2 linked regions of the Cricetulus griseus genome follow. The main gene of each other region encodes a partner of the protein of the gene in region 2 in a complex. Links are inferred from orthologs where the notes say so. Each region holds a gene or a part of one and is shown on either strand. Other genes may lie near its edges. The genes, in order: Eif3e and Eif3i.

Region 1 (7,602 bases), on a different chromosome or scaffold from region 2:
ATCCCCTGTTGATACTGAGGGGTGACTGTATATTCAAGGGTTAGGAATAAGGAAAGACCTCTGCTAATTCCTGGAAAGGAAGGAAGGAGGGGTGGGTGTTACACCCCGGAAGAGTTCTTTTTGTATCAACTTGCCCTGTCCAGCTTTTGGCTTATCTTGAGTCAATAAGAAATGCACGCATTGCTTTGTGAATTTGTGAACTGTACCATTCTTTTGTTGGCCAGAAGTTTGGTTTTCATTTTATTTTTTATTTGCCTTTTTAAAGTTTTCACTATGTTACTGAGATTCTCTATGGGCCGCAAGTTTGCCTAAAACTTGATTATCCTTCAAGTCACAGATGCAGACCACAAATTTACTCTTCCAGATGTAAGGATACATGTATGGATATAAGTACATGGATGAATTTTCTGATTAGTTAGTTGCTTCGTTAGCCAAGTTAGAAAAATCATTTACCAGCAGGGATTGGGTTGTTTTTTTTTGTTTTGTTTTTTGTTTGTTTGTTTTGTTTTAGCAGCCAAAGACACAAACCCCAGAACAAGTGACCTTGTTTGGAACTAGAGTGGCTGCTGAGGAGATGGTTCTGGGCACTTGGTATCACTTGAGCTATAGCTGCCCTTGGGCTCCTGTCGTCTCACACTGCATGACGTGGAGATTCACTTCTGCAGTCCCATTTTCAGTCTGGGATTTCAAAGTCAAAGAGTGCTTTCATGTAGAGTCACAAGTCCCCTTCAGACTCACATTGCCGTTCTAGACCGTCACAGACCTCATTGCAGGCACATATTTCTAAATTCTAAAGTCCCGTATTTCTAACTTCATTCCACTCCACTCAATTGGAAGTGATGAATCGATAATGTAGTCGCATGCAAAGAAGTGGAATCAAGACAGTTTAATTGATTATGTCAGCAATAAAGTGCTCCCATATGCTTGTCAATTGATACCAGTGGTTAAAGTGTCTGAAATGAAAAGGTATTCTTAGACACTACACAGAAGAATTGGGGTTGTAGCTTAGTGGTAGAGCTACGGCTTTGCATAGCTTTTGTAAGACCCTGCATTTGAACCCTGACATTGCAAACTCTCCCCCAAATGACTAAATATTAAATATTTGAAAATCTTACCATAGGCCAGCATAAACCAGTAAACATTTTTAAATGTGTGATAAATTAAAAAAAAAATTTTCTTTTTTTTTTTTTTCAAGATGGTCTCGTTGAGCTTACCCTGCCCTAGAACTTGTTTATTGCCTAAGGGCAGCTTGAACACCTGGTTCTGTGCATCCCACTGCCCAGTGGTGTGCACTGTCATGCCCAGCTCATTTGCAGTCAGTTTTCATAAGCACTTCTGAATTTGAACCCAGTCTTATCCCCAGTGAAGGAATTCCACTTGTCTTATTATTTGTACTTTTAAAACATGAACTCTCAAATGCTCTATCTTGTGTTTTGTCAGTAAACTGTTCTAGAAATTTGACTTCTCTTTAAGTAAGTACCTGTGTACTCCTGGTTCTTCACAACTCTTCTTGTCAGTTTCTGTGAATACCTGTATTCACATTATCGCAAGGTTGTGGCTGACCAGGATGTGAAAACACTGTGTAGTGACAGAAATTAAAAGAAAACCAGTGTAGCCTCATCTGATAAATTTTAGATAAATTTTTAGCATCTTCCACAAATGCTTAACTGAAGAGATCCACTTCAAACCTGATACAAGACAGAATGTCGCACAAACTATTGTTTGACATGGGCATCGCACCAGGCCGCTGGACCCCGGGCCGGGCTTGTGAAGATGCAGTTCTCAGCTGCTACATAGGGTTCTCGGCCTAGAAGCTGGGTTCCTTAGGGTGCTGTTGTTTCACCTCATCTTAATCTGGGGCATTTAGGAGAGGGCAGGTGTTACTAAATTCTAAAGTCCCGAAGGAGTTGATAGGAATCTGTAATGCAGTGATGTATGTGTGTATGTGCACATGCCATAGTCTAGGAGAGCATGGAAGTTAAAATATTAAAAAGCTGCCTGGAAGTTCATCTTCTGAGAAGTTAGAACAATTTCTATGGAGTCAGCTATGTAGAGGGGGCCTGGATCGATTCTTTAGAACTTGAATGTATACCTTTGAGAAATAACTTACAGACAGATAATTCTGAACTCAGCATCATACGTGCCTGAGGAAAGTATTCGGGTACCACACATTGGATCTGTATAAGCAAATTGTTCAGGAGAAATGCAGTGAGTTAGAGGGTTGTCTTCAGTCAATAGTAGCAGGATTTGGTAAATCAGAGCTGAGACCCCATAAACTGAGACCTCAATTTATTCCTGGTTTCCATGATTGCCACTGCTGCAGATGGAATCCAAGCCATAATGGATGTAATAATGTCCTCATTGTTTTACTCTTAGAATCAGCAAAATTATTTAATTTGTGTAAGAGCCCAGTTTCCTCCACTTGCACATACAAAGTTTCACTCTTTTGTTCCATGCAGAGGGAAAGTCATCACTATTTCCAGCTATTGGAGTAAAGTGATAATGTATCTAATAGTGTATCTGTTCCGCAATAGTAGCAACATACTTAGATTCTTCAGTGAGGCTTCCAGCTCACTGGCATTTGGCAATAGTGATGAGATTCCCATCCTGTTAAGTGGATTCTGCTTATTTTATACGTGTCTATTCCCTTGTAATAGTTATTCTTAAATGTTTGTAATATTTGGCTAAACAATGTAGTCAGATGTTTCCTTTAATTCACACTGAATTATATACATTGAAAGTTGTGGGAGTTTAGTGACTATCAAGTAACTGTTGTATTTGGACCTTAGGTACCTTAACGCAATCCAGACAATGTGTCCACATATTCTTCGCTATTTGACCACTGCTGTCATAACAAACAAAGATGTGCGGAAACGCCGGCAAGTTCTGAAAGATCTGGTGAAAGTTATTCAACAGGTAAAACTCAGCACCGTGAAGCACTAAAACGTCAAGTGTACTCTTCTAAAGTCAGACTCTGGGGTCTTAGGTGAAAGCATGTGGCGTGGAAGGGAAGTTAGAAGAGAGCCGAGCCCTGAGCCTTTACTTTGTACATTCCCAGTATTTACATGACATATGTGACATGAGTGAGTGATTGTGCCTTCTTAAGACTCAGCTTGCTGGAGCTCACAGGGGTGGCTGGGAGAGTTGTCACTGCACAGCACAGTGGGGACCTTTTTATAGACTATAGAGCAGCCGTCCATCAGGTGGACAGAGCCACTGCTGGTTGATTTCAAATTGAACTGCTCAGAAAAACAAACACACACAGCCCAAGGAATCTCTTTAACTTAAAAATGCATTGATACAAAGCAGTGATTGTTACAGCAGAGTTATTATATCTTCATAGCTGGAAAAATTCTCCATTGTTCATTGACTAAAGGAGACTATTAGATTTGAAAACTGTTGGAATAATTCTAAGGTGAGAGTTTAGAGACTTTGATTTGGACAATACTACAAATTTACTGTGTTACAGGTACTTTGAGAAGATGACATTGGATTATTGGCTGTGAATTCATGATAAGAGGACTAGGAGATGGGTGTGCTTTATAGGCAGTGTGCTTAACAGTGCTCAGCGAGACCTAACTGGACATTTGACTTGATTTTGCAGGAGTCTTACACATACAAAGACCCAATTACAGAATTTGTTGAATGCTTGTATGTTAACTTTGACTTTGATGGGGCTCAGAAAAAGCTGAGGGAATGTGAATCCGTAAGTATGAATTTTACTAAGCAGCTTACATTCTTCAGTTTCTAGACGTGATAATGAAGTAGCTGAAATAGGAGGAAGCTAAATGGCAGATTATTGGTAGAAGGACGTCGTGTAGTTAGCATTGCCTCCTTTGCTTAGGAAAGTTAAAGCAGCAGCTGTTTTGAATGCATCTTGGTCTCTGTGAATCTTTGTTTTTCTCATCTGGTTCACGAGTCCATATGTATCACAGCTTTAACTCTTATGTTTGGAGTTACTTTTAGAATTTTTAAGTGATTGTATTGAACACTTCCTAAAATACTCAACCATTGTAGTTATGAATTTTATACTTAATCTTTTCTATTGTTTTTGGTTGACAATAAAGTTATTTCAGAGACAGTCTGGAACTTGATACATAGACCAAACTGTCAGGGGACTCAGAGATCCATCCACCTGCCTCTGCCTCCCAAGTGTTGGCATTAAAGGCCTGCACCATCACCCTGCTGCTGTTTTGTGTGTGTTTTGTTTCATTTTCTGAGAGCTTTCCCTTTGTAATGTTGTGGGCAGGCATGGGGAAGACAGAAGACAACTTGGTGGGTGGGGTCTGTTTTGTCATTTCCGCATTGCCTGGTTCCAGGGTTCTAACATGGCTCTTAGGCGTACATGCCGTGCCTCACCCGCTGAGCCATCTCCAGGACTTTGCCACATCTAGTTACTTAAGTGATTAGTTCATATTCACAACATATTTTAGGGTTGAGTGAGATTGGGTGAATACACAGTTTGCTATCTATCTTAAGCTGGCCTTAGGCCCTTGATCTTTGTCCCTTAGTTTGTTGAGTGCTGGGCTTGTAGGTGTTCAACACCATGCTCATCTAGTTTCATCTTTTAAAATCAAATTTTGGGGAAAAGTATCCAATTTAACTAGGATCTTGTTTCTCTAAGGAAAAATGTAAATATATATTGTGGTAGTTTCTGAGTATTAGTCAACATAGAAAACTAAAATCTAGCTTGATAATTTGTATGCTTAGAACTATGTGAAAGTTACACATTGCTGTTGAAATAATCACTTTTAGTTATTACTTACTGTCTTTGAAATAGGAGCCATGCCTTGCACTGTTCTATTTGTCTTGCGTTGCAGAAAGTTCATGTCCTTAGTCCGTTCCTTCCTTTAAGTAGCTAGAGCATGTTGGACAAAACAAAGCATGACAGGAAGTTGCTCTGTTATTTCAAATCATCAAGGAGCCACTAAGGCTTCTTGGAGGTTTTCTTCCATCATTCTTTAACTACTTGTTTAAATAATTAAGGACTTGAACATGAGCAATATTCTGGAAAGTGCTATGCTATAGGATTTTTTAGATAGATTATAGTGAATAGAGCAGTAAAGTAGGCAAAGTGAGTCAAGTTTTTAAAAAGAGTTGTCAGTGTCATTAATTTTTAAATATATTTTATGTATATAGGTGCTTGTGAATGACTTCTTCTTGGTGGCTTGTCTTGAGGACTTCATTGAAAATGCCCGTCTCTTCATATTTGAAACTTTTTGTCGTATCCACCAGTGTATCAGCATTAAGTAAGAATACTCAGATTGGATATATATTATCTACCTTTATAGTCTCTGGAAATCGCCATTTATTATAATGTTACATGTAACAAAATTTCAGTTCATTCCATTTTTATTTATCTTTGCTTTTAGAAGAAAAAGAAAATTTGCTACTAACGTGAAATTTTTAATGTTTGAATTTTGAGAACTCTTTAGTCTTTGTGTGGTAGAATATGATTTCTGCAAGTGACAAGTTGAAGGTGTAAACTTTGAGTTACCTTTTTAAAGAGTGACTAGTGTACCGAGATGAGGGGATATTTAAGATGGTTTTCAGCAGTAGGTCAGATGAGTTAGCCCTTAGTAAATGGGAAATTTTGTTGTAAGACCACTACATTTGGTAATAATTTCTGTTAATTAAGTTTGTTTATTTAATTACATATTTGAATTCTCATATAGTAAGCTCCTGTGACATCCTAAAATGTTGAAACATGGAAAGCTTGTGGTGAATTTTAGTTGAAAGTTTCTCTGTTGTGTGAGAAAATAATTGGGAAAATTGTGAAATGAACATGACCTATTAGAAACTAATTTCATATATTAGGCTTTTAAAATTATGAGTGCACTTTGGCCAGAGATGAAGTCAAATATAAAACATAAGAACTTAGTACTTTTAATGTTTGCCTCTGAGGAATTTTGTGTAAACCAAATTTTGTTTCTTAATGCCATTTGTTTTTGGTAGGAGATCTATCCATACTTGCCTAATTTTAGTGGGATGTCCTTGAAGTGGTTGTGTAGAGTTGGTAGTATAGTGTGATCACTGGGCCTTTCTTACTGGGATTAGGACTTTGTTGTAGTTTGCAGACATGCTTTTTAAAATTGGTTTTCTTCCTAGTCTTAGTATACAATTGATGTATGATTAAAAAGGCAGGCCCATCACTTACGGACTGACTGACAGTAGATACCTGAACTATATTGTTTTGAAGATTTGTAGTTTGGGCTTCTCTGTGAGACAGAAATGCTTAGTATTTTGGTATCCATTCATAGTTTTCTCCATTCCCTCATAGGCTGTGTTTGTTGTCTTGTGTTTGGGATTGATTTGTTTTGTTTGCACGTATGTTTGACTAGAACTGCTTTAACTGCTCCTTTGTTTATAGCAAATTTAGTACAAATCTTTGTAGTGAATGTATGTATTCCGAACATTTTATGTCATAAGGCTTCTTTGTATTTTGCTTCTGAGGTATCATGGACAAGGAATTTGTAATAATTCTAGCTCTTTACATTTACAAATTGCTATTTGAGTTTATTATTTTGTTTCTTAGAATTGAGTTTACTGTGTTCATGTGTAGCCTGGTGGTAATAACAGACTAGGACTGTCTCTGAATGTTTATGGTTTTATGTGGGTTGCTTGGCTTGCTTTTTTCTACTGCTGGGATCCAACTAGGACCTTGTAATTGTTAGGCAAGCCCTGACCACTGACTGACCTGTGCACAGAGTTTTCCCATTTGTCTGATACACATTGTACTTTTTCTTGGATCACTTTTCTTTTCTGCTAGACTGTAAAGAATCTTAAACTAAATTTCTAGAGGCATTCCAAAGGCCTGGGGTCCTCTAGTCCTCGTGTTGCATTTACTTGAGGTTGTTTAAACTTTTTTTGTGCCAGCCTTAGCAGATTAAAAGTACAAAAAAATGAGCAATTTAAGGAATATGTAGATGTGAATTATTTTTCTTCAAAACAGTAGATGAGTTCAGGCATATTCAGGTTGGTATGATGTTTTCAGATATTAAATGTTTTGAGCTGCAAGAACTCTTAGAAAAATCTGTTAATCTAATACTGCTCAGCTGTAGAAAAGTTTTGTCTTTACAGTAGATGAGTGTCAAAGAACGTAGACGTTCCTGTAGTGGTGGAGGATGTGTTTTATGTCTTCATTGTTCGTCCTGGGGCACTTGCAGCGTGACATGCATTTTTAGTTGTAGAACCAGGGCTTTCAGAGGTCTGCACGGGAGCAGTTTGGCCTTCTGTCACTCGTGTGTATGCTGTTTTGTTACACATTTTTCCTGGCGTTTCTTTGGAACCCCAAGACTGCTAGAAATTTTACTCTGTGCGCCCCTTGTACTTAACTGGAAGCCTTATGGTTTTCTATCATCCAGCTGCTGCCTAGATCACCCTGTGTTATCCGGCTTAGGCTGGAAAGCCTACACTGTACCGTTCTCACTATGAATTGTTTGTTGTGAACAGTTTATATTCTTAGAAATAATCTTTATATAAATTGTTTAGAATACTAGTTGAGCTGAAGAGTAAACATGAGATCCATGTCAGTTTTTAATTATGTATCGCACAATCCTTAGTTGTGTTCACCACACGCAGATGAGATGGATGGCAGGGCTG
Region 2 (7,193 bases):
CTATGTTCAAGGAAGGCCACAGAGGGACAGCGGACCTCCTGAGTGGGGAATGGGTGGCCTTGGGAGGTGGGAGCTGGGGCTTTCATTGACAGCAAAGTGCTTTGTCACAAGCAAGAATGAAAGCATGGAGTGTCCGATAAAAGGCTAGGACGAGCCGTGTGTGATGGTACACACCTTATCCCAGCACTGGGAGGCTGAGGCAGGAGAATGGAAAGTTTCAGGTAGCTTGGGGGTAGGGTAGATGAAACAGGAGGCTAGAGCCAGAAAAGCCTTGAGTGTGGAAGAGAAGACCTTAATTTCACATTCTGGGATCGGGGAAGTCATTGCCTTCACTCCTGATCTCAACAGGTTCCAATGGTCATACAGGTGGTCCTGCTTAAACTAATGGGGTCACAAAACAAAACTAGAAGTCACGAACCTGGGAAATGGACTGATAGTGGTGGTGATGGGGACAAGAGGGAGAGTAATCGGGGTATATTATATACATATGTGAAATTCCCAGGCGACAAAATAATTAAAATACAAAACTGCCCGGCAGTGGTGGTGGCGCACACCTTTAATCCCAGCATTCAGGAGGCAGAGGCAGGTGAATTTCTGTGAGTTCAAGGCGGGTTACAGGACAGCCAGGACAGTTACACAGAGAAACCCTGTCTCAAAACAACAAAATAAAAAAAAACTTGGCACACTGAGGAGTCTGATGAACAGGGAAGAATAGTGGACTGGTGGGTTTGAACAAGGTCCAAGCTGTAGAAGAGCTGACAGCCAAGGGGAGGCCATTATATTATTCTCGCTACTGGGTGATTACGTCTGCTTCTATGCTGGGACACGCAGGAGAAACAGTGTGAGAGGGAGACATAGCTGGGAACACGTTACTCTCAGGGTTGGTTCATGAGGAGATGCTGTAGGAGGGAGTTTAGCCTGTCGTCCTCAGGGCAGGAATGCTGTGAGACTCGGTAGGTGAGTGCAATAACATTAGACCAGAGTAACCTAGACCCCGCCTCTCCCCAGGGAAGCAGCTGGCCCTACTGAAGACCAACTCAGCCGTCCGAACCTGTGGCTTTGACTTCGGGGGTAACATCATCATGCTCTCCACAGACAAGCAGATGGGGTACCAGTGTTCTGTGAGCTTCTTCGATCTACGGGATCCAAGCCAGATTGGTGAGGGCTAGGACTAGGGGCGCTGGGGTGGGTGGTGTGACTTCAGATCCCAGGGCCTGACCTCTGCTGCTCTACACAGACACCAATGAGCCCTACATGAAGATCCCCTGCAATGACTCCAAGATCACCAGTGCCGTCTGGGGACCCCTGGGGGAGTGCATTATTGCAGGACATGAGAGTGGTGAGCTCAACCAGTATAGCGCCAAGGTAAGGGGCCAAGTGTTGCCAGATGACATCAGGTGTGGGAAGTACTCAGGCTATGTTACAGTGGTCACAAATAAGCATCTCCTGTCACTAGAGAATCAGACAGCAGCTTAAAAACAGCCAGTACATCCGGCACTGGTGGTGAACACCTTTAATCCCAGCACTCAGAATAGAGCTGAAGTAGTTGGTATACATGAGAATGTGGAGTCCTAGACGGTCATGATTATCGCCACGGTGCACTGTGGAGGCAGAGACATCCTAGTCTACAGAGCCAGTTCCAGGACAACCAGAGCTGTTAGATAGAGAAACCCTGTCTTGAAAACAAAAAACAAAACAAAACAAAAGGAATTGGAGATATAGTAATAAAAAGGAAGGGAAAAATAATATATTTACAGACAGGTGTGGTGGTCTAGAGCTATAACACAGCTGGTGAGAGCTGGGACCAGTGAAACAGGAGAATCAAAAGTTCCAGGCTGGTGGTGCACGCCTTAAATCCCAGCACTCGGGAGGCAGAGGCAGGCGGATCTCTGTGAGTTCAAGGCCAGCCTGGTCTCCAGAGTGAGTGCCAGGACAGACTCCAAAGCTACACAGAGAAACCCTGTCTCAAAAAACCAAAAAAAAAAAAAAAAAAAATTCCAGACTTGAGGGGAGCTGAGGTGAGACACACCTTTAATCCCATTACTTGGGGGCCAATGGCAGGTGGATCTGAGTTTGAGGTCTATGTAGCCAGTTCCAGGCCAGCCGGGTAAAGGTGAAATGTTGTCTCAAAAAAAAAAAAAAAAAAAAAAAATTTCCAGGTGTGCCTATGCTACAGAGTGAGTTTAGGGCCAACCTTAGAAGTTTAGTGGAGAGAGATGCCACAGTGGTTAAGAATGTTTGCTCCTTTTGCCAAGGACCTGAGTTCTGTTCCTAGCACTACATCGGGCAGTTCACAGTTGCCTGGGACTCCAGTTCTAGGGGGATTCAGTGTTGCCTGGCCTGTGGACACTGACACATGTCCTTGGACACATATCCATACACATATTTTTTTGTTTTTTTGAGACAGGGTTTCTCTGTGTAGCCTTGAGTGTCCTGCACCTTGCTGTATAGACCAAACTGGCCTTGAACTCACAGAGATCCCCCTGCCTCCTGAATACTGAGGTTAAAGTCATGCATCAACACTGTTCAGTGTTTGAGTACTTGGGGTATTTGGGGTCGATCAATCCCAAAAATAAAGCTGGCATGGGGTTAGATTGAGGTAAGAAAGGTATAAAATGAAAAGTCTAGCTTGTCTGAAGTTTCTAGGGGAATAGTGGCTTGGGACTCCAGCAAGTCTCTTCTTCCTCCTCCAGTCTGGGGAGGTGTTGGTGAGCGTTAAGGAACACTCCCGGCAGATCAATGACATCCAGCTATCTAGAGACATGACCATGTTTGTCACCGCGTCCAAGGACAACACAGCTAAGGTCAGCCTGGGTATGGGTCTGGTGGAGCTTTGTTTGCCCCTCTGCTGCACATTCAACCAGTCTGACCTGCCCAAAAAGTTGCCCAACCCAGATTCTCCTCCTCCCTTCTCTCCAGCTCTTTGACTCCACGAGTCTTGAACATCAGAAGACTTTCCGAACAGAACGTCCCGTCAACTCGGCTGCCCTCTCTCCCAACTATGACCATGTAAGAAGACCCCACTCATGCTTCCTGCTTCTGGAGTCTGAGTATATGACCAATGCTAGGGCTGTAATTGTTGGGGAATAGTGTCAGAGAAGGGGCACCTAGGATTGTTACAGTGCTGATTGATTGGGCTTAGGGAAGTGAGCTGGGGAAACCTGACATGACTACTCATCCCTTTCTTGAGGATACTCCTGCTGTGGGTGGGAGACCTCAGCCAAGGACAGAAACCTGTAAATAAGTCCTGGTTGTACCTGAACTTTCCTTTCCTTTCCTTTCCTTTTCTTCTCTGCCCCCCCCCTTTTTTTTTCTTTTTTGGTTTTTCAAGACAGGTTTTCTCGGAACCTGTGTAGCTGGCCTCAAACTCACAGAGATCCTCCTGCCTCTGCCTCCCAAGTGCTGGGATTAAAGGCATATGCCGTCACCATCTTTCTGAACTTTCTTTTCTTTAGGTGGTGCTAGGAGGTGGCCAGGAAGCCATGGATGTGACCACAACTTCCACCAGGATTGGCAAGTTTGAAGCCAGGTAAAGGGGAAGCAAGCTCTTCCATATTGAAACCACATAAGGATTGTGACAGATGTCTAATACAGGAAATGAGGACAGCTGGGCATCTGTCTGGCTAAAGTGCCCTGCTGGCAAACCAGGTGCGTCCCTAGCACTACCATTGGGCCGTGGCCCCAAGCCTCTAACACAGTTCCAGTCACTCCAGAGATGGAAGAGCGTGAGTTTCAAAGTCATCCTTGGCCTCAGCCAACTCCTAGCTCACTTGGCTACACAGGACCCTATCTCTAAACAACAGCAGAGATCATGAACTCAGGGCCTAGATGAGCCTGTCTTTTTCTCTGTGCCTGTGATTTCCAACTGTTTAATGGCCAGAGATAGTGTACTCTCCTCAGAAATGTGTGCAGATTAAGTAAATGATTAATATTTAGTAAACTTTAGAGCACTGCCCAGTACATGCCTGGTGTTTGTTGTATATTGAAGCAGACAATTGGGCAGTCTTCCTATAACTTCATTATTTCTTTCCATCTCCTAATTTCTCTACTTTATTAATTTTGTTACGTAGAATACTGTCCTCAACAGTCTTCATTTTTTCAGAGTGCTGCCTCAAGTGTGTTTGAGGAGATGGAGACTAAATAACTGCTCTCCTACCCACCCTCTCTTCCAGGTTCTTCCATCTGGCTTTTGAAGAGGAGTTTGGAAGAGTCAAGGGCCACTTTGGACCTATCAACAGTGTTGCCTTTCATCCTGATGGCAAGAGGTATGGCCCCATTGAAGGGAGTGATCTCAGCGGCCGGGGGTCTCTGCCTGTTTGCTCTGTCTGGCTGCCCAGACTTCCCTTCTCAGCAGCATCTGATCATCACTGCCCATCTCTTAACAGCTACAGCAGCGGTGGTGAAGATGGTTACGTCCGCATCCATTACTTCGACCCGCAGTACTTTGAGTTTGAGTTTGAGGCCTGAAGCTGGATCTCCATCCACCGGGGAGGCTGCTCAAGAGGGTTTTAGACTCTTTAGAAATAAATTAGTTTGGTAAAAATAGTTTCTGGTCAGCCATTTTGCACAGCTTGTCAGGTTCTCCTGCTTCACTGACCCTCTGCTGGCTGAAAGTAATAGGAATACTTTGTTCTGCAGGCTTTCTCTCTGCACCCAGACTCTGCATTGCTCTGGGCTAGCCTGTGTAGCTGGCACTTTTCATCCACCACGGTCAAGAAGCCGCTGCCTAAGAAAGGGCTCAGGCTGATGCATGCTATAGTCTGAGAACCTTCCCTCTTCCTTTTCTGTGGATTTGATGGCTCGGGTGAGCGGGGCCAACTGGACCAGCACAGAAAAGGGGCTGAGGAAACAGAAAGGTAAGGAAGCCCAGCAGGGAGAGAATTCTCCAGGGGAATGCTTAGGGCTTACCTCACCATAGGCTCAGGCTCTGGGGCTCCACAGAAAGCAATGTGGCTAAGGAGTTGAAGAGTAGTTGAACTGAAGGTGGCTCTCAGTTCTAGCACCCACGTTGGGCAACTCAGAACTACCAGTAACCTCAGTTTAATCCCTAGGACCCAGGTGGAAGAGAATCAGCACCTGAGAGCTGTCTGCTGACCTTCGGGTGCCATGACACCTGTGCCTATATACACACCACACACTATAAATATATGTGTAGTGTTTTTGCCTGGTGCCCATGAAGGCCAGAAGAGGATATCAGATCCTCTGGAACTGGAGTTAGACAGTTGTGGGTTACTGTGGATGCTAGAAACCAAACCCAGGTCTTGGGCAAGAGCAGGAACTACTCTAACACTGGACTGTCCACAACCCCTAAATGTATTTCTTTGGGTCTTTGTTTGTTCTGAGACGGGGTCTCTATGTAACCCAAGCTGTCTTGAAAGTCACTATGTAGAACAGGCTGGCCTCAAGCTCTGCGTGCCTCTGCTCCCCAAGTGGTGGGAGTGTACATCACCACAAATGGCTAAAAGTGGCTTTATTATAGTCCTGGGGATTGAGCCTGAGCTTGTGTGTGCTAGGCAAGCCCTCCAGCCCTGGCTTGGTTTGTAGTGCTGAACATGAACACAGTAGTTCTTAGAAAAGAAAGCCTTAATTCCTTACAGTTTCAGAGGTGTAGTCCATTGTCATGGCTAGGACCATGGTGGCAGCCAAGCAGACATGGTGCTGGGGAAGGAGTTGGGAGGTGGGAGTCAGCAGACAGCAGGAAGAGAGCCATTGGTCTTGGAATGAGCTTTTTGAAAGACCTTTCTCAATGCTCACAGCCAGTGACACTTCCTCCAACACAGTCACACCTCCTAATCTTTATAAACGGTGCCATTCCCTGGTGATAAAGCATCCAAACCCATGAGCCTATGGGGGCCATTGTCATTCTGATCACCTCAGCCATGAGCTACATCCCCAGCATGTAATCCTTATTTCTAAGGTGCACTTGTTCTTGTCTGTGAGTAGAATATGTGGCAGACCGTCTTTCTGGGTTTGCAGAAGTTGAAGAGACACGTGACACAGGGAAGGGCACTCATGTTTTCTGAAAGAAGCTCTTGGGAAGGAGAAGTGAGCATAGAGTGGGTCTCTGCCTGTCTCTGGCCCTCTTCATGCTGACATCTCTTCACTGTTGTAGAAGAAGATGCCAAAGAATCAGGAATAGGTTATGTTCAAGCATTGCCAATAGCAGCCCCTCCCTAAATTGCACCAGCCATAGGAACTGGAAACTTAACTGCTCCTGGGCATGGGAAGTCAAGTAGGCATAGCCTAGCCGGAAGGTGTGGCCAGTCAGGTCAGGGAGAAGCAGTGGGCATCAGGAAATGGTTTCTGGGTAGAAGGGATGGGCTAGATTTAGTTGACCAGTGACCTGAATCCAATCTACCATCTCAGCTGCTGGAACCCATCCAGCAAAGTCACAAGCAAGGCACTGTATCTTCAGCCTCATGTGTCAGGATACAGGCTCCTCCCCTGTGGGCCCAGGCAACTGGAGTCTTCCCTGCCTGGGTGGCCAGATCAAAAATAAAATAAGCTGAGTTCTAGACTATATATTTATAAATAAGTATGTGTGTGCTTGTTTCTATATCAAGTCATGGTTTTTGCTGGGGCTAAGAGCCATGCCCAACCCTCAGTCTCATAAGGTAGGAACTTTATCTCTTATGTTCTGTGCTGCCACATTTTAGGCATCTAAGACAGCTTTCTGTGTCCTACTCTGGCTCTAGTCTTCACTAGGCACATAACGGCTTCCTGGAGGGGTCACATCCTAGTCAAATGAAAACTAACTTTCATCCTTTCACTGGTTAGGTTCTTGGTGAGCCCAGCCTGGGAGCAGAGCAAGTGTCCATCCCAAAGAGGGAGACAGCCCTCCAACCAAGCAGCAGACCTGATAAAAAAGGACCCTTTGGGAACCCCAGTCTATTGAGACATGGAACCCCCAATGTGATGGGAATAATTCATTTCCTTGGGGACTCCTCCTTCTGATGAGAAACACTCATGTCCCTTGAGCTAATCTTCCTTTTTGGGAAGGAGTGCATTGCTTTCAGGGGGCATAGAGTGCCCTGAAAACCCCCAATCTGATAACAGGAAAGTTTCCTAGGGATCAGCATCTGCTCCTACCTTCCAGAAACTGTTTTGCCCAAGGTCACCAGTGACTGCCAGAACTTTTAGTCATCCTCAGTGACTTCAGTCTTTTTAGGATAGTTTAGGCCATGGTGAAGACC

Evidence for each region.
Region 1: Eif3i (region 2) and Eif3e share a complex: the UniProt entries of both Homo sapiens proteins name them as parts of the eukaryotic translation initiation factor 3 (eIF-3) complex. The link is inferred for Cricetulus griseus from reciprocal best matches to the Homo sapiens genes EIF3I and EIF3E.

What each region holds. Positions count from the first base shown.
Region 1 is NC_048603.1:9,474,876-9,482,477, forward strand, and holds part of Eif3e (eukaryotic translation initiation factor 3 subunit E), read left to right. Parts: intron 1-2,789; coding exon 2,790-2,916; intron 2,917-3,604; coding exon 3,605-3,706; intron 3,707-5,139; coding exon 5,140-5,249; intron 5,250-7,602. UniProt on the Homo sapiens protein: Component of the eukaryotic translation initiation factor 3 (eIF-3) complex, which is required for several steps in the initiation of protein synthesis.
Region 2 is NC_048595.1:23,439,499-23,446,691, forward strand, and holds the end of Eif3i (eukaryotic translation initiation factor 3 subunit I), read left to right. Parts: intron 1-1,008; coding exon 1,009-1,158; intron 1,159-1,237; coding exon 1,238-1,365; intron 1,366-2,693; coding exon 2,694-2,804; intron 2,805-2,919; coding exon 2,920-3,009; intron 3,010-3,455; coding exon 3,456-3,529; intron 3,530-4,172; coding exon 4,173-4,265; intron 4,266-4,385; coding exon 4,386-4,467; 3' UTR 4,468-4,545; downstream 4,546-7,193. UniProt on the Homo sapiens protein: Component of the eukaryotic translation initiation factor 3 (eIF-3) complex, which is required for several steps in the initiation of protein synthesis.